3 linked regions of the Sus scrofa genome follow. The protein of the gene in region 3 interacts with the protein of the main gene of each other region in a biochemical or structural test. Links are inferred from orthologs where the notes say so. Each region holds a gene or a part of one and is shown on either strand. Other genes may lie near its edges.

Region 1 (4,158 bases), on a different chromosome or scaffold from region 3:
TACCCACTTTCTGGTAGCTTTAAAAAAGACAAAATGGGAAACTCAGTTTCTTCTTTGCAAGTCACTAAATAGAAAAGGAAGGCTGGAGTTCCCATTGTGGCGCAGCAGAAATGAATCTGACTAGGAACCATGAGGTCTGGGTTCCATCCCTGCCCTCACTCAGTGGCCTAAGGATCCAGCATTTCCTTGAGCTGTGGTGTAGGTGGCAGACTCGGCTTGGATCTGGCGTTGCTGTGGTGTAGGCTGGCAGCTGCAGCTCTGATTAGACCCCTAGCCTGGGAACCTCCATATGCATGGGTGCGGCCCTAAAAAGACAAAAAGACAAAAAAACGAAAGAAAAAAAATTTTTTTAAAGAAAGGCATTTGCTAAGATCCGTGGAAATAAGGCAGCAGACTGCAAATGGTTTGAGTTAATGAAACAATTCATGTTGGTTATTAAAGTTGCACTATGTGTGTGTATATATATATGTATATATATATATATATATATATTTTTTTTTGCACATTTAATAGATTATAAGGGATGCTACCCTTGGGTTCTCCTAACTTTCACATTGAGCCCTTAAGGCTGATCTATTAAGGCAGTCCATGATTGCAGTTCTTGGTCAGGATGCCTAAAATTAAACGGCAACCTCTTGAGAGCGCATATCTTTGTTGGTAGCTTTCTCTCACCCATTTCTGCTAAAATTCTGGTTGTGGGACCAAGGCGATTTTCATGAGCATGTGCTTTATAAAAGATAAACTCCCTTGACCAAGCAAAAACACTCCAATTAAACGTGATTTATGGGGCGGCTTCGCGAAGTTGTCCAGCTGATGGTATTTATATGTACACAATATCGACACTGAAATAGTGAAAAGGCAAGTCTGTTGTTACCTTTGTTTTTAAAGAGACTGTTTTAAACAGGCTTTAGAGAAAGTAACTCTTGGGAAACGGTTAGGAGGGATTGGTGAAAGCAAACTAGTCCTCATGGTTTTTCATTCCTTTTACATCTAGTTTTGAATGGAAAAGAAATGCTTTCACTTTCCTTTCACGCTCTCCGCGGTTTTTCTCCCACATTCACCTTCGGAGTTTCCTTCACCTAACAAGTTCCGACTTGAGAACTCGTCATACTTACTCTCAGTAGTCCTAGTCGCTCTGTTAGGGGCTTTGTTTCCTGTTCTCTATCTGCTTGGCTTGGTAAGGACAATCCTTAATTATAATAAAAGAAGCCATAGGGACCGCCAAGGCTGAGCAAAGACCCCACTTTCCTGACTGCCAAAAGGCCACTGCTCCGACCTACCCACAAGACGTGGCGCGAACTCCGTGACGTAGCGCGCAGCCCTCTTGACGCAGCGCGCAGCCTCCGTGAGGAACTCGCGCCCGTGGCCCCGCCCCGGGCCGCCGGGACCAGCTGCGCGCCTACCCGCAATCTCGCAGCCGCCGGTTACTGTGAGTCCGCGCCGTCCGGGGCCCGCCGCCGCGATATGTCGCAAAAACCGAAGAGTCGCGGCCGCGCCGGCACCCAGGCAGAACGGGAGCGGGACTGGGGAGGAGGCGGCGGCGCAGAGGAGGTCCCGAGCACGTCCCGCGGGCCTTCCTCGCAGGGCGGCCGGCGGGCCGAGGCCTCCCCAGCGCCGGGGCCCCGGTCGCAGAAGCAGCTGGAGCTGAAGGTGGCCGAACTCGTGCAGTTCCTGCTGATCAAGGACCAGAGGAAGATCCCGATCCGGCGCACCGACATCCTGAAGCACGTGGTCGGAGACTATAAAGACGTCCTCCCGGAGCTGCTCCGGCTGGCAGCCGAGCGCCTGGAGTACGTGTTCGGGTACCGGCTGGTAGAGCTGGAGCCCCGGAGCAACACCTACATCCTGGTCAACACGCTGGAGCCGGTGGAGGAGGACGCCGAGGTGCGCGGCGACCAGGGCACACCTACCACCGGGTTGCTGATGATCGTGCTGGGGCTCATCTTTATGAAAGGCAACAGCATCAAGGAGACGGAGGTCTGGGACTTTCTGCGGCGCCTCGGGGTGCACCCCACCAAGAAGCACCTGATCTTCGGGGACCCCAAGAAGCTTATAACCGAGGACTTCGTGCGGCAGAGGTATCTGGAGTACCGGCGCATCCCCCACACTGATCCTGTGGACTACGAGCTCCAGTGGGGCCCACGCACCAACCTGGAGACCAGCAAGATGAAGGTGCTCAAGTTCGTGGCCAAAGTCCACAATCAGGACCCCAAGGACTGGCCGGCTCAGTACTGTGAGGCTCTGGCTGAGGAGGAGGCCAGGGCCAGACCCCCAACAGGTGGCCCAGCCCCTTCTTCTTGAAATCTGAGAGACTCAGAGGGACTCCAGGGGGGGGTGGGGGGCGTGTGTGTGTGTGTGTGTGTGTGTGGTGTGTGTGCATCTTTCTGCTAAAGCTTCAATGTGCGTAGTTTTAGGATGTGTTTGCCGACTTATATTGCAAGTTCCTTGGTTCCAAATTTTCACCTATAAAAATATTAACGGACGATTTGTTTTGATTTATTGTCTGTGTTTTTTGGTATAAAAATCTCGCTAGCTTTCTAAAGCTAATTGGAAAACTTTGTACCATGATCTGGAAATAGATATTGAAGAAAGAACACGTCAGTAAGTTGCTTTGATGTCAAGGAAATAAAAGCACGAAATGGCTCTTACCTGGCCTCTTGACGACCCCACTTTGAAAGGAACAATAAAAGTCTATAAATTGAAACAATAAAAGTCTATAAAATGTAATTGCCTATATCCCTTTTTAAATTTAGCATAGCTACTTTTAGAATGTATTTTTTATGTATGTAAGCGTTATGAATCATTCTAAGTAATGTACATGCTGTATTTTTCCCAAATAACTTTACCTCGATAATTACTACTAGGTTGTGTGGCTGACTTTTAGTTACATTTATTTTTTTCCTTTTTTGGCTACTATAGTTACAATAAATACTGTGTTTTGAAGCAGCATTGTGCATTTTTTTAACCATAAGTCGAGAAATTAATTTCATGACTGAAAACAGGCATCTTAACAAAAAACACTTTTTGCTACATAGCATTAAGGTAAATAGTGTTTTGTGGAAATTGTTTTATTTGTGTATGTGCATATCACGATGTAAAATGTATTTCTTTCAGTGGGTTACAGAAAAGATAAAGCCATTAGTGATTAACCATGCCTACCTGGGAAGCAAACTATCTGGATTCAGATTCTACTTCTGCATAACTAGCTATATGAATTAGGCATGTTACTTAAGATGTATACAGATTTTTCCTCACCTGTAAAGTGGGTTGATGATGCCTGTATTGTGTGTGATGTGATACTTAGATATGGAAATATGTGTGAAGTTCTTGGCACAATGCTGGGTGTGGGGGATTTTAGTTGTTGCTCTGTTCCTTAAAAGTTTGTTTAAATATGTTTTTTATTCTTGGTATGGAGCAACAAAAAAAAATTTTGAAGGTTTTCTTTCATTATCTATTTAGTTTTCAATTTGTCCTATTATTTTGTAACTTTGATCACTTTGGTTAAGGTGGTTTCTGCCATTCCTCTACACTTTGAAATTTTCCATTTCCCTTTGTAACAAACAAGCAACTTGTGTGGAGACAGAGATTTTGTAAATATTGTATTCCTCACCAAAATTTCAGTTTATTCACTTTTATCTGTATAGATTCATTATAGTCTTTTATTGTCACGATTTATTTTGATACCCAAATTGTCCCTGTTTGCCACTGGGAGCATTTTAAAGCTGGCTTTTGTGTCTTCTACTTGCCCCCATCATTCTTTGAGCAATTCCATACTTTCTGGCACAAAAAGATCATTCAGCCTTAACTTGAATTTTCCCTGCCACAGACCTCTCAGCCATTTTCTCCAAAGAGCTCTGATTCCTTTTGGATGGAAACGAATTCAGAAACAAGGTTGCCAGGTTTCCTCATGCCTTCTAGAAGTATCCTTGCTTCTAGCCCTCTACATGACAAAGTTAGTCTTTTTGTCTATTTGTATATCTAGCTATCATCTACTGAAAACTATGACATTACATTGATAATAGCATATCCATTCTATACCGTAGTGTTTATTATGGTTTTCTCCCTTGTTCTATCTGTACTGTTCTATCTGTACCTAACTTCTCGAACAGTAAGAAATTCATATCCTTTAATCCTTCTAATAATTATTTGATCAATTGC
Region 2 (4,226 bases), about 10 Mb from region 3:
CTTTGCACTTTATGGTTTGCATATTGAACAAACCTGGCTCAGAAAAGTCCAGTGACCTGAGCAGGCTCACACAGCTAGTAGACACTGGCTCACCCTCCATCCCACGAATTGAAGCCCAGCCCAGGAAGGGACCAGGGCAAACATTCTGAATCCGGGCTTGCCATGGCTCAGAATTGCAAGTGCCTGATTGTCTTGGCCACTCCAGCGGGCACCAGAAAGGCCTCAGGGGTAGGGCGTTTGTGCCTCTCACAATGAAGGGGCCTGACGGCCGGAGCAGGGAGTGGACCCCAATGAGCAATTCCCATATCTGGATGGACCCACAGAGCAGGAGGGCGGGGAGTGGGAGGGGGCGGGGCGGAGGAAGAGCTGGGACCTCTATCTGTTTCCTCCTAAATTGAGAGCATGAGCTTAAGTCTCAGGGAACACTAACCTTGTCTGTTTGGGACAGATGTTGACAGGGCAGGAGGTGGGATAGATCTGTTGCTTAAACTGATAAAAGGAGGGTGCTTCAGTCCCTGGGCCAGCGCCGGTGGATCGTGGGTTTTAGGGTCTGGAAGACCCAGGACAGGACCACATTTTGCTTTCTCTGTTTACTGGCTTTGTGGCTTTGTCTAGTTCATGCAATATGTTTGTACCTCAGCGTCTTTATCTGTAAAATGGAGATGCTGACATCCACCTCCCAGGGCTGCTGTAAGAAGAAAACAAGCCCCAGCATAGATCGTGCTGTGAAGTACAAACTGTGCCCTTCCCTCCCCTCCTCCCCACCTCCCCACCTTCCCACCTCCACACACAAAATAAATAGCTGGAGCTGCACAAAGGGCAGGAAAGAAGCTAATGTTTATGAGTCTGGGATCTGTTGAGGAGGGGGGTGGAAATCATGGAGTCACGTGGCAGGCACAGACTCTACCTCTAATAATGTATCCTCTGGCCGTTCCTTTTCCTGGGTCCCTAAGTGGATGTGCTTATTTTTAGCCCGAGCCAAACACTTGTAGCAGTTAGAGCCCCCCTACAGAGACCTCCTTAATAGTGACCTAAGTGCTGCTAGACTAGGGGGTGGAGATGCATGCCGACCTGACAGGAGGGGCCGTGCGAGGGGAGGGATAGAACAGAGACGCATTGCGGAAAAGGTAGGGGGCCAGTGTGTGGGGCAAGGGGTGGGATCTAGAGGCACTGCGAATCTGTTTGGGGGAGGGGATATAGAGAAAGGGGAGGGATCGCTGTATACTGTCGACCTGGTTGGTGGTGGGGTGGTGTGTTGGCAAAGGGGCGGGATTGCCTCCCACTGCACATGCGCACCTTAGTCTTCAGGACGAAGCTTTTGTTGGGAAAGCAGGCGGGACTCTTATTTGGTCGGTCAGTTCTTGCGCATGCGTACAACCATCTGAGGCGGTGGGTGGTATATTAGGCGAAGAGGCGGGGTCGTCCTAGCTGCCGCGCTGGCATTTTCTCCTGGACAAGGAGAGGGTGCGGCTGCTGAGAGCCGAGCACTGCAATCCCGATCCTCTGAGTCGTGAAGAAGGGAGGCAACGAGGGGGTTGGGGTTGGGGCCTGAGGCAAGGTGAGAATTAGCCCCCAGACAGGGCATCTGCCCCCTGGTGCGGGCCCCCCATTTTTCATCCCAATCCCTTTACCCCGGATTCTGATCCTTCTTCCACTCCCCGAACCCTAATTCACACCCCTCACCCGATCCTCCCTTATTCAGAATCCCTGTTTGCTCTCTGAGCCCCTCCCATCGTTCAGAATTTACAGATTTCTCGACCTCAATCTGTACTGTTATATGATTCCTCCTGATTCGGAAACTCCATTCAGTTTCCCATATGCGAATCCCAGTGCTATCCGCCTGGATTCAGAACTCTTAAATCGGTTTTCCAAACCCCGATTTGAAGCTTCTCCCCGTCGTAGCTTCTAGGGATTCAGAACATCCATCCGGACACCCATTCACTTTTCCCACTCCGATCTGGCCCGTTCCCCTCACATTCAGCACCTCATCCGCCCCCACAATCAAACCTCAAACACCACCGTCTCCCCACATTCATTCCTTCCCATTTACCCTCTGTAGTGTAACGCCTAACTCCTCCCCCACACCCCCCTCCCCAGGCTCTGCTCTTGCCAGAGGGACAAGAACCATGGCTCAGAAAATGGACTGTGGTGCGGGCCTCCTCGGCTTCCAGGTGAGATCTCCACTCCCCACCCCACCATTTCCCCAGCCGACAGTTTCCCCCTTCCCGGGCCCCTTTGGCTATCCAAACGCCTGGATCAGATTGTGCCTTCTTGGTGCCTGGATTCCTTCATTTTTCAAATTCCCATGGTTTATGGGGGAGGGGGCGTCCCTTTCAGCCATCAGTCCCTGCTCAGAGAAAGGGGAGACCCTGTTAGTAGTCAGGGCAATCTGCCCAGAGAATGCGGGTTGGGTAAGGAACCATTTTTTTCCATAGTCCTGATGCTTGTAGAGCTCTTTGCCGCCCCCTCCCCCAGCCTCCTCCACCCTCCCTTCCTCCTGCATTCCCCACCCCTTGCGACCCCCTTATTCTCCTCAACTCCTCCAGGCGGCACTCTTGCTCCACCTCCTCCTGCTCCTGAGCTCCTACCTCACACTGCAATGTTCTGCTCTAACCTCACTCCCAGATCAGCACCTGCCTTCCACTTTGCCCCCCTCACCTCATCGCCGCCCGCCCCATGTTTAACCTCTGCCCCACTCAGCCCCTCTCACACGTTCTGTTATCACTTCATTCCTCTCAGGCCTCTAGATCTCTGCCTCAGCCTTCCTCTCTTTGCACCAGCCGCCCCCCCTGCACCTCCTCTGAGCTACTCCCCCGCTCCCAACCCCACTTTGTGAGGCCCAGAGATTTATTTTTTCCCCTTGTATTTGCAGGCTGAGGCCTCTGTAGAAGACAGCACCTTGCTTATGCAGACCCTGATGGAGGCCATCCAGATCTCGGAGGCTCCACCTACCAACCAGGCCACAGCAGCTGCCAGTGGGCCAAATGCTAGTCCTCAGAGTTCACAGCCCCCATCTGCCAATGAGGTGGCTGATATTCAGGCTTTAGCAGCTGCCACTAAGCCTAAGACAGCCTTTAAGGCCCAGAATGCCACCACAAAAGGCCCAAATGCTGCCTATGATTTCTCTCAGGCTCTTAATGCCAAGGAGATTCCCAGCACACCACCTACGGTAGCCTTTAAGGCCCCAAATGCCCCCTCAAAGGGCCCAAATGCTGCCTATGATTTTTCCCAGGCAGCAACCACCAGTGAGTTAACTGCCAAACCTGAGATGGCCTTTAAGGCCCAGAATGCCACTACGAAGGTGGGCCCAAATGCCACTTACAATTTCTCTCCATCTCTCAATGCCAATGAGATGGTCAACACTCAGCCTAAGACAGCCTTCAAGGCTTGGAATGATACCACTAAAGCCCCAACAGCTGAAACCCAGACCCAGAATATTAACCAGGCCAAGATGGCCACTTCCCAGGCTGACATAGAGGCTGACCCAGGACCAGGTATCTGTGAATCTGATGGTGCAGCTGCACAGACATCAGCAGATGGCTCCCAGGCTCAGAATCTGGAATCCAGGACTATAATTCGGGGCAAGAGGACCCGAAAGGTGAGATCCCTGCTAGTTCCACTTTGCTTTGGGCCTCTCCTTTCTTCTGTGAGGTTGTTCATTTGTTCTAAAACAAAACAATATATAGCTGCCTGTATTCAGCTAGGTTGTAGGGGATGATAAGATGTATGTGATAATTCCTGTCCTCTGAGTGTCCACGGACTAATGGGGAGATGAGACATGGACATGTAATATATCCAGTCTGCATGTAATTCCTTGTGTATTTTGATAGTAGCCATCATGTGTTAGGTCTTGGCCTAGGCACATTCACACAGGTTATCTCACGCACTAAATCTTCAAGATGCTTCATACCGGCTGGGGTCATAGTTTCAGTTTTACAGGGAAGGAAACTAGTTTCCAGAGAGGTGAAGTGACTTGAGTGATTTGTCCAGGGTGGTACAAGCAGAGCCAGTGGTGAACATAGGAAGAGGAGAAGCTTCAGGCCCCACCCTTGGGTTGCTCCTGGCCTGGTTCAGAGATGAAACTCCTGCCTGGAAGACAGTGAAAGACAAGCCCAGGACTCAGGGTGACCATTGGCTAGTGGGTCAGGCTGTCACTACAGGTGAGGGTTTTAGGGGGCCTTCCTGGAATAGATAGGGCAAGGACATAGAAACAGTTGGTGACTCTG
Region 3 (4,250 bases):
TTTTTAGTGAAAAAGACATTATTTCTTGAGTACAAAACTACACATACATTGGATGAGGCTTATTAATTGGGTTGTTCAGTATCTCTCTATCCTTGTTTATCTCTCAGTTGATTTGCTCTATCTACACCAAAATCAATGCAGTTAAGTCCCCCACTATAATTGCAGACTCTCTAATCTCTATATTTCTAACAATATTTGCCTCATACATTTTGGAATTACATTGTTTGGCATATAAATTTTAGTGACTGTATGTTCTCAGTGAATGGAACAACTCAATTTGTTTTCTTTTAATGCTTTTTACTTTGAGTTCTTGATTTTTCTGACATTAACATTGCTATAAGTCTCCCTCCTTCCTTCTTTCCTCCTCTTTCTTTTTCCTTTTAAAAATTCCTCCCTTCCCTCCCTTCCTTCTTTTTTTTTCTTTCCCTCTTTTCTGCTGATATTTACTAGCATATATTTTCCAATCTTATTTCTGCTTTAGGTGAATCTCATATAAACAGCATATAACTGGATTTCTAAAAATTAAATGCTCAAAATGAGAGTTCGCTTTTTAAAAATTTTTATGGGAGATGTTAACCCAAAATACATATTAATATATTTTTATTTCTGCCATTAAAAAATGCTTTTTTAAATTGCCTCCCATCCCATTTCTGCCTTTTGTTAGATTGAGCTTTTCTCTTTGTTGTACATATTATTTCTTTAATGGTTTGAAAGTTATACATCCTATTTCTGTTGTTGCTACCCCTAAAATCTCCTGTTTTTCTATTATGCATTTTATTTCCAGTAAGAACAAAGCATTGCTATTAGGAACATAGAGAATCTTTACATTTGGTACAAATACTAGAGATATTTGTAAAGTGCAATTTAAAAAAAGGAGTTCCAGAGTTCAATAAAATTGTATAAATCCAAAAGGCATATTAAATATTATAATATTTAAAAAGTGCAATGCAATTACCAGAATGTGAATCCAGGTTGTGCTTCATGACTGAAAATTTCTTTTGGGCAGAGAAGCTCGATTTTGTGATAAACAGCAACAAATTCTACTGTAAACAGTTCAATTTGCTTCAACGACCATATTTAAAAAAAAATTTAAGCCTACTGCAACCCTAAATACAGTGATAACTTCCAATACAAACCATAACATAGCACATAGGATAGGGTATATTAATATAATTATTTTCACACCAGAATGAACCAGAAAGAATTTGCAGATTTCATTTTATTTAAGACAACAACAGCTACCAAAAGCACAGAATGGAAAGGCATATGACTAAATGTTTAACACTTGTTAAAGCCGACTGTTGGTTACATTTTTCGCTGTCCTTTTCTGTATCCTTGACGATTTCATCATTTCAAATGAAATAATGCTTTCGGGTCCACCCTGATTTGTCGAGAGCAGCTGCTGCCCCCGCCACATCAAGGGGGCGGGTCGCCGCGACGCCACAATCACTTCCGCCGCCGCAGTCGTGCCCGCCCCACTGCTGTCTGGAGGGGGAGGAGCTGGAGCCCCGGGAGCAGCGGCTCTGGCGGTCGTGGCGGTCGGAGGTCCGAAAGCTCTGCTCTTCACCAGAGTGTGCGGGGGGTCGCGACTGGGTGAGTGAAAGGCTGTTTCTTTCCTCGATCCCTCCAGACGTGGCGGTGGGGCGAGGGGCCGGGGGGCGGGGGGGGAGGCGAGGTGGAGGTGGGGGCTCTAAGTGAACAGATTTTCGGGCTCGCCCCTCGGGAAGGGGTGGGGCGGACGAGGGTCCTGACCGCAGAGGGAGGCCTGTGTCCTCCATCGGTCTGATTTAGGGCTCCATCCTCCGTCACCCGGCCCCAACAACGGCCCCTTTCGTGTGGCCCGCCCCCACTCCGCTCTGGGGGCTTGAATCGTTATTCGAGAGGGGAGTGGTGGTCGAGGCCCTCTCCCACCTCTCTCTGCCTGTCCTTTCCCTCCTCCGCCTTCCTTTTTTGGCTCCTCTGCGGAGCGATCCGTGGCCTTTCTTACCCCATTTTGCAGTTGTTTTGATGAATGGTAAATGGTGAAGATTTTTAGGTAAATATATTGCTCTCAGGAAAAGAATTGTCAGAAAAACAAAATCACTCCCAGGGAAAAACTATACCCCCCACACGCCCTTTTCTTTCTTTTTTTTCCCCCTTTTCCCATTGGTTTGGATTTACCTTTTGAGCCGATAAGTCTCCCCTTCTCATTATGACATTGCGGCCCCCTCCCATCCGTGTGTCTTGCGCGCGAGCAGGGACACACACGCACATGCCCGCACACACGCTTGTGCGCGCGCGCACACACGTACACACATATACATACACACATACGCATGCACAGAAACCTTCCATTGCGGCTCCCTTACCACCATCACCCCCAATACTCAAGGTTCCTGCGTATCCCCTCCCCCGCACATGCTTGGACACTCACACACACAAACCCTCTCACACACTCTCACGCTCTCTAGTGCCTTCCCCTGACACACACACACACACACACACACACATGGCCTCACACCTTCCTGTGCCTTTCCAAGCCTCTCACGGACTGCCACATTCACACCTCCAGAAGCTTCCCCCTCCTCCCTCTGCCTCTGCGTGCACTGGTGAGCACACAGAACACACACACACACACACACACACACACACACACACACACACACACACACACACACACACACATATCCTCATCCTCCCACACACCCTCCGGGCTGCCTTACCACACACACATAAGGATATCCTTGGATTGCTTTTTTCCTACGCCACTTACATGCATACTATGCATCCATACCTTTTTCACATACCTCTCTCAGATGCTCCCTGTCTGCTGCATATGAGCCTAGACACCCTCCTTCGCTGGTCCTTGTGGTGCACACACTCACACTCACATAAATCCTTCTCCAGAGACACTGCCTCCCCCCTTCCTGCCAAAAAACATTCTTTGATTGCTGGTGCCCACATGCCTGCCCCCCTGCCACACTCACATCCCTCTCCAGTGCTGTACCCCCATCGATGCATTTACTCACACTGACATTTCTCCATTGTTGCCTCCCATTTGGCGAACACATGCACACAAATTCAAGGGCACCCCTGTTCAGTGCTTCTATACCCTTTCTGGCCTGCCACAGATGGGGAAATACAGGCATTCCCTCACTAGAGTTCCAGCCATCATACAGCAAACCACACGCACATTCTCTTTCTCTCATACATACTCCCACCCCTCTCTTCTGAAGCCATGCCGGTCTTTTTCATAACTACATCCAGAATGGGACTCATTCTGCCTGACACTCATGCCTGTTACCAATGCCAGTGTCACCTGCATTTTCCCTACACAGACATCTCTGCTGAGTGATTGCTGGTCCCCCTTCCACCTGCCCCTCTCCTCCTGACAGACACATAGGCACTCTTGCAACACAGTGGTGGGGATCTATATTTTCTATGCTCTTCCAGTTTGCATTTCTCCTGTATGTCTGCAGGGCTCAGAAAAACGCAGACACCCCATAAAAAAACCACAGCAGTCTTTCCTCTTTCCATGTTGGCACCATGCCAGTGCTTCACCCACCTCTCAAGCGTCCAGTCAGCGCCCCCCCCCCCACCATCTTCCTTCAGATTCTCCTCTAAGTCTGGCTTTCCTACAAACCCAGTTTTGTAATCATTTTGCCAACATTAAAAATGTGTTCCAGGTCTACACCTGACAGTCACTGGAATGCTACTCCAGGCCTTAGAAGAAAGTGAAACTAATTTTAAAGGCCCCTTATTCTTTCTGTTACCTGCCTGCTGAAGTGAAAATAAATCTCCCTGCTCCTTTATTCTGAACTGATTTGACTTGCCCATCTCCAAAGTGTGTTCAGGGAGCAGGAGCCTTTCCAATCAAGCCCTAGCCGTGTTGGAAATCCTCCTAAGTCAGAGCAATGGGTCAGGAATCTAGCAAGCCTATATGGCCCAAGCCAGCAGGAGGGTATCAGTCCAACACAGACAGGAGGTATGGAAGAAGGCATGCTTGTGTCAGTTTCAGGCCTTCCACGAGCCAGCAGGAAAGGATTTTCGGCCAGAGAAAGACGCCATCTGAAGTCCCAATGCACAGGTCAGCCCCCAGTCAAACCACCAAGAGGAGCCGATCACCATTTTCCACCACCCGTCGTAGTTGGGACGACAGCGAGAGCTCGGGAACCAGCCTGAATGTTGATAATGAGGACTACTCCAGGTACCCGCCCAGAGAGTACAGGGCTTCAGGGAGCAGAAGAGGAATGGCTTATGGACATGTTGAC

What was found. The genes of interacting proteins can lie anywhere in the genome.
Region 1: the proteins of PJA1 (region 3) and NSMCE3 form a complex in vitro, tested with the Homo sapiens proteins (2 studies listed by BioGRID). The link is inferred for Sus scrofa from reciprocal best matches to the Homo sapiens genes PJA1 and NSMCE3.
Region 2: the proteins of PJA1 (region 3) and MAGED1 form a complex in vitro, tested with the Homo sapiens proteins (2 studies listed by BioGRID, with this or other methods). The link is inferred for Sus scrofa from reciprocal best matches to the Homo sapiens genes PJA1 and MAGED1.

Annotation. Positions count from the first base shown.
Region 1 is NC_010443.5:144,471,227-144,475,384, reverse strand, and holds the start of NSMCE3 (non-structural maintenance of chromosomes element 3 homolog), read left to right. Parts: upstream 1-1,358; 5' UTR 1,359-1,464; coding exon 1,465-2,301; 3' UTR 2,302-4,158. UniProt on the Homo sapiens protein: Component of the SMC5-SMC6 complex, a complex involved in repair of DNA double-strand breaks by homologous recombination. The complex may promote sister chromatid homologous recombination by recruiting the SMC1-SMC3 cohesin complex to double-strand breaks.
Region 2 is NC_010461.5:45,321,113-45,325,338, forward strand, and holds the start of MAGED1 (melanoma-associated antigen D1), read left to right. Parts: upstream 1-1,426; 5' UTR 1,427-1,558; intron 1,559-2,097; 5' UTR 2,098-2,126; coding exon 2,127-2,171; intron 2,172-2,872; coding exon 2,873-3,598; intron 3,599-4,226. UniProt on the Homo sapiens protein: Involved in the apoptotic response after nerve growth factor (NGF) binding in neuronal cells. Inhibits cell cycle progression, and facilitates NGFR-mediated apoptosis. May act as a regulator of the function of DLX family members.
Region 3 is NC_010461.5:55,277,784-55,282,033, reverse strand, and holds the start of PJA1 (E3 ubiquitin-protein ligase Praja-1), read left to right. Parts: upstream 1-1,450; 5' UTR 1,451-1,593; intron 1,594-3,665; 5' UTR 3,666-3,893; coding exon 3,894-4,250. UniProt on the Homo sapiens protein: Has E2-dependent E3 ubiquitin-protein ligase activity. Ubiquitinates MAGED1 antigen leading to its subsequent degradation by proteasome. May be involved in protein sorting.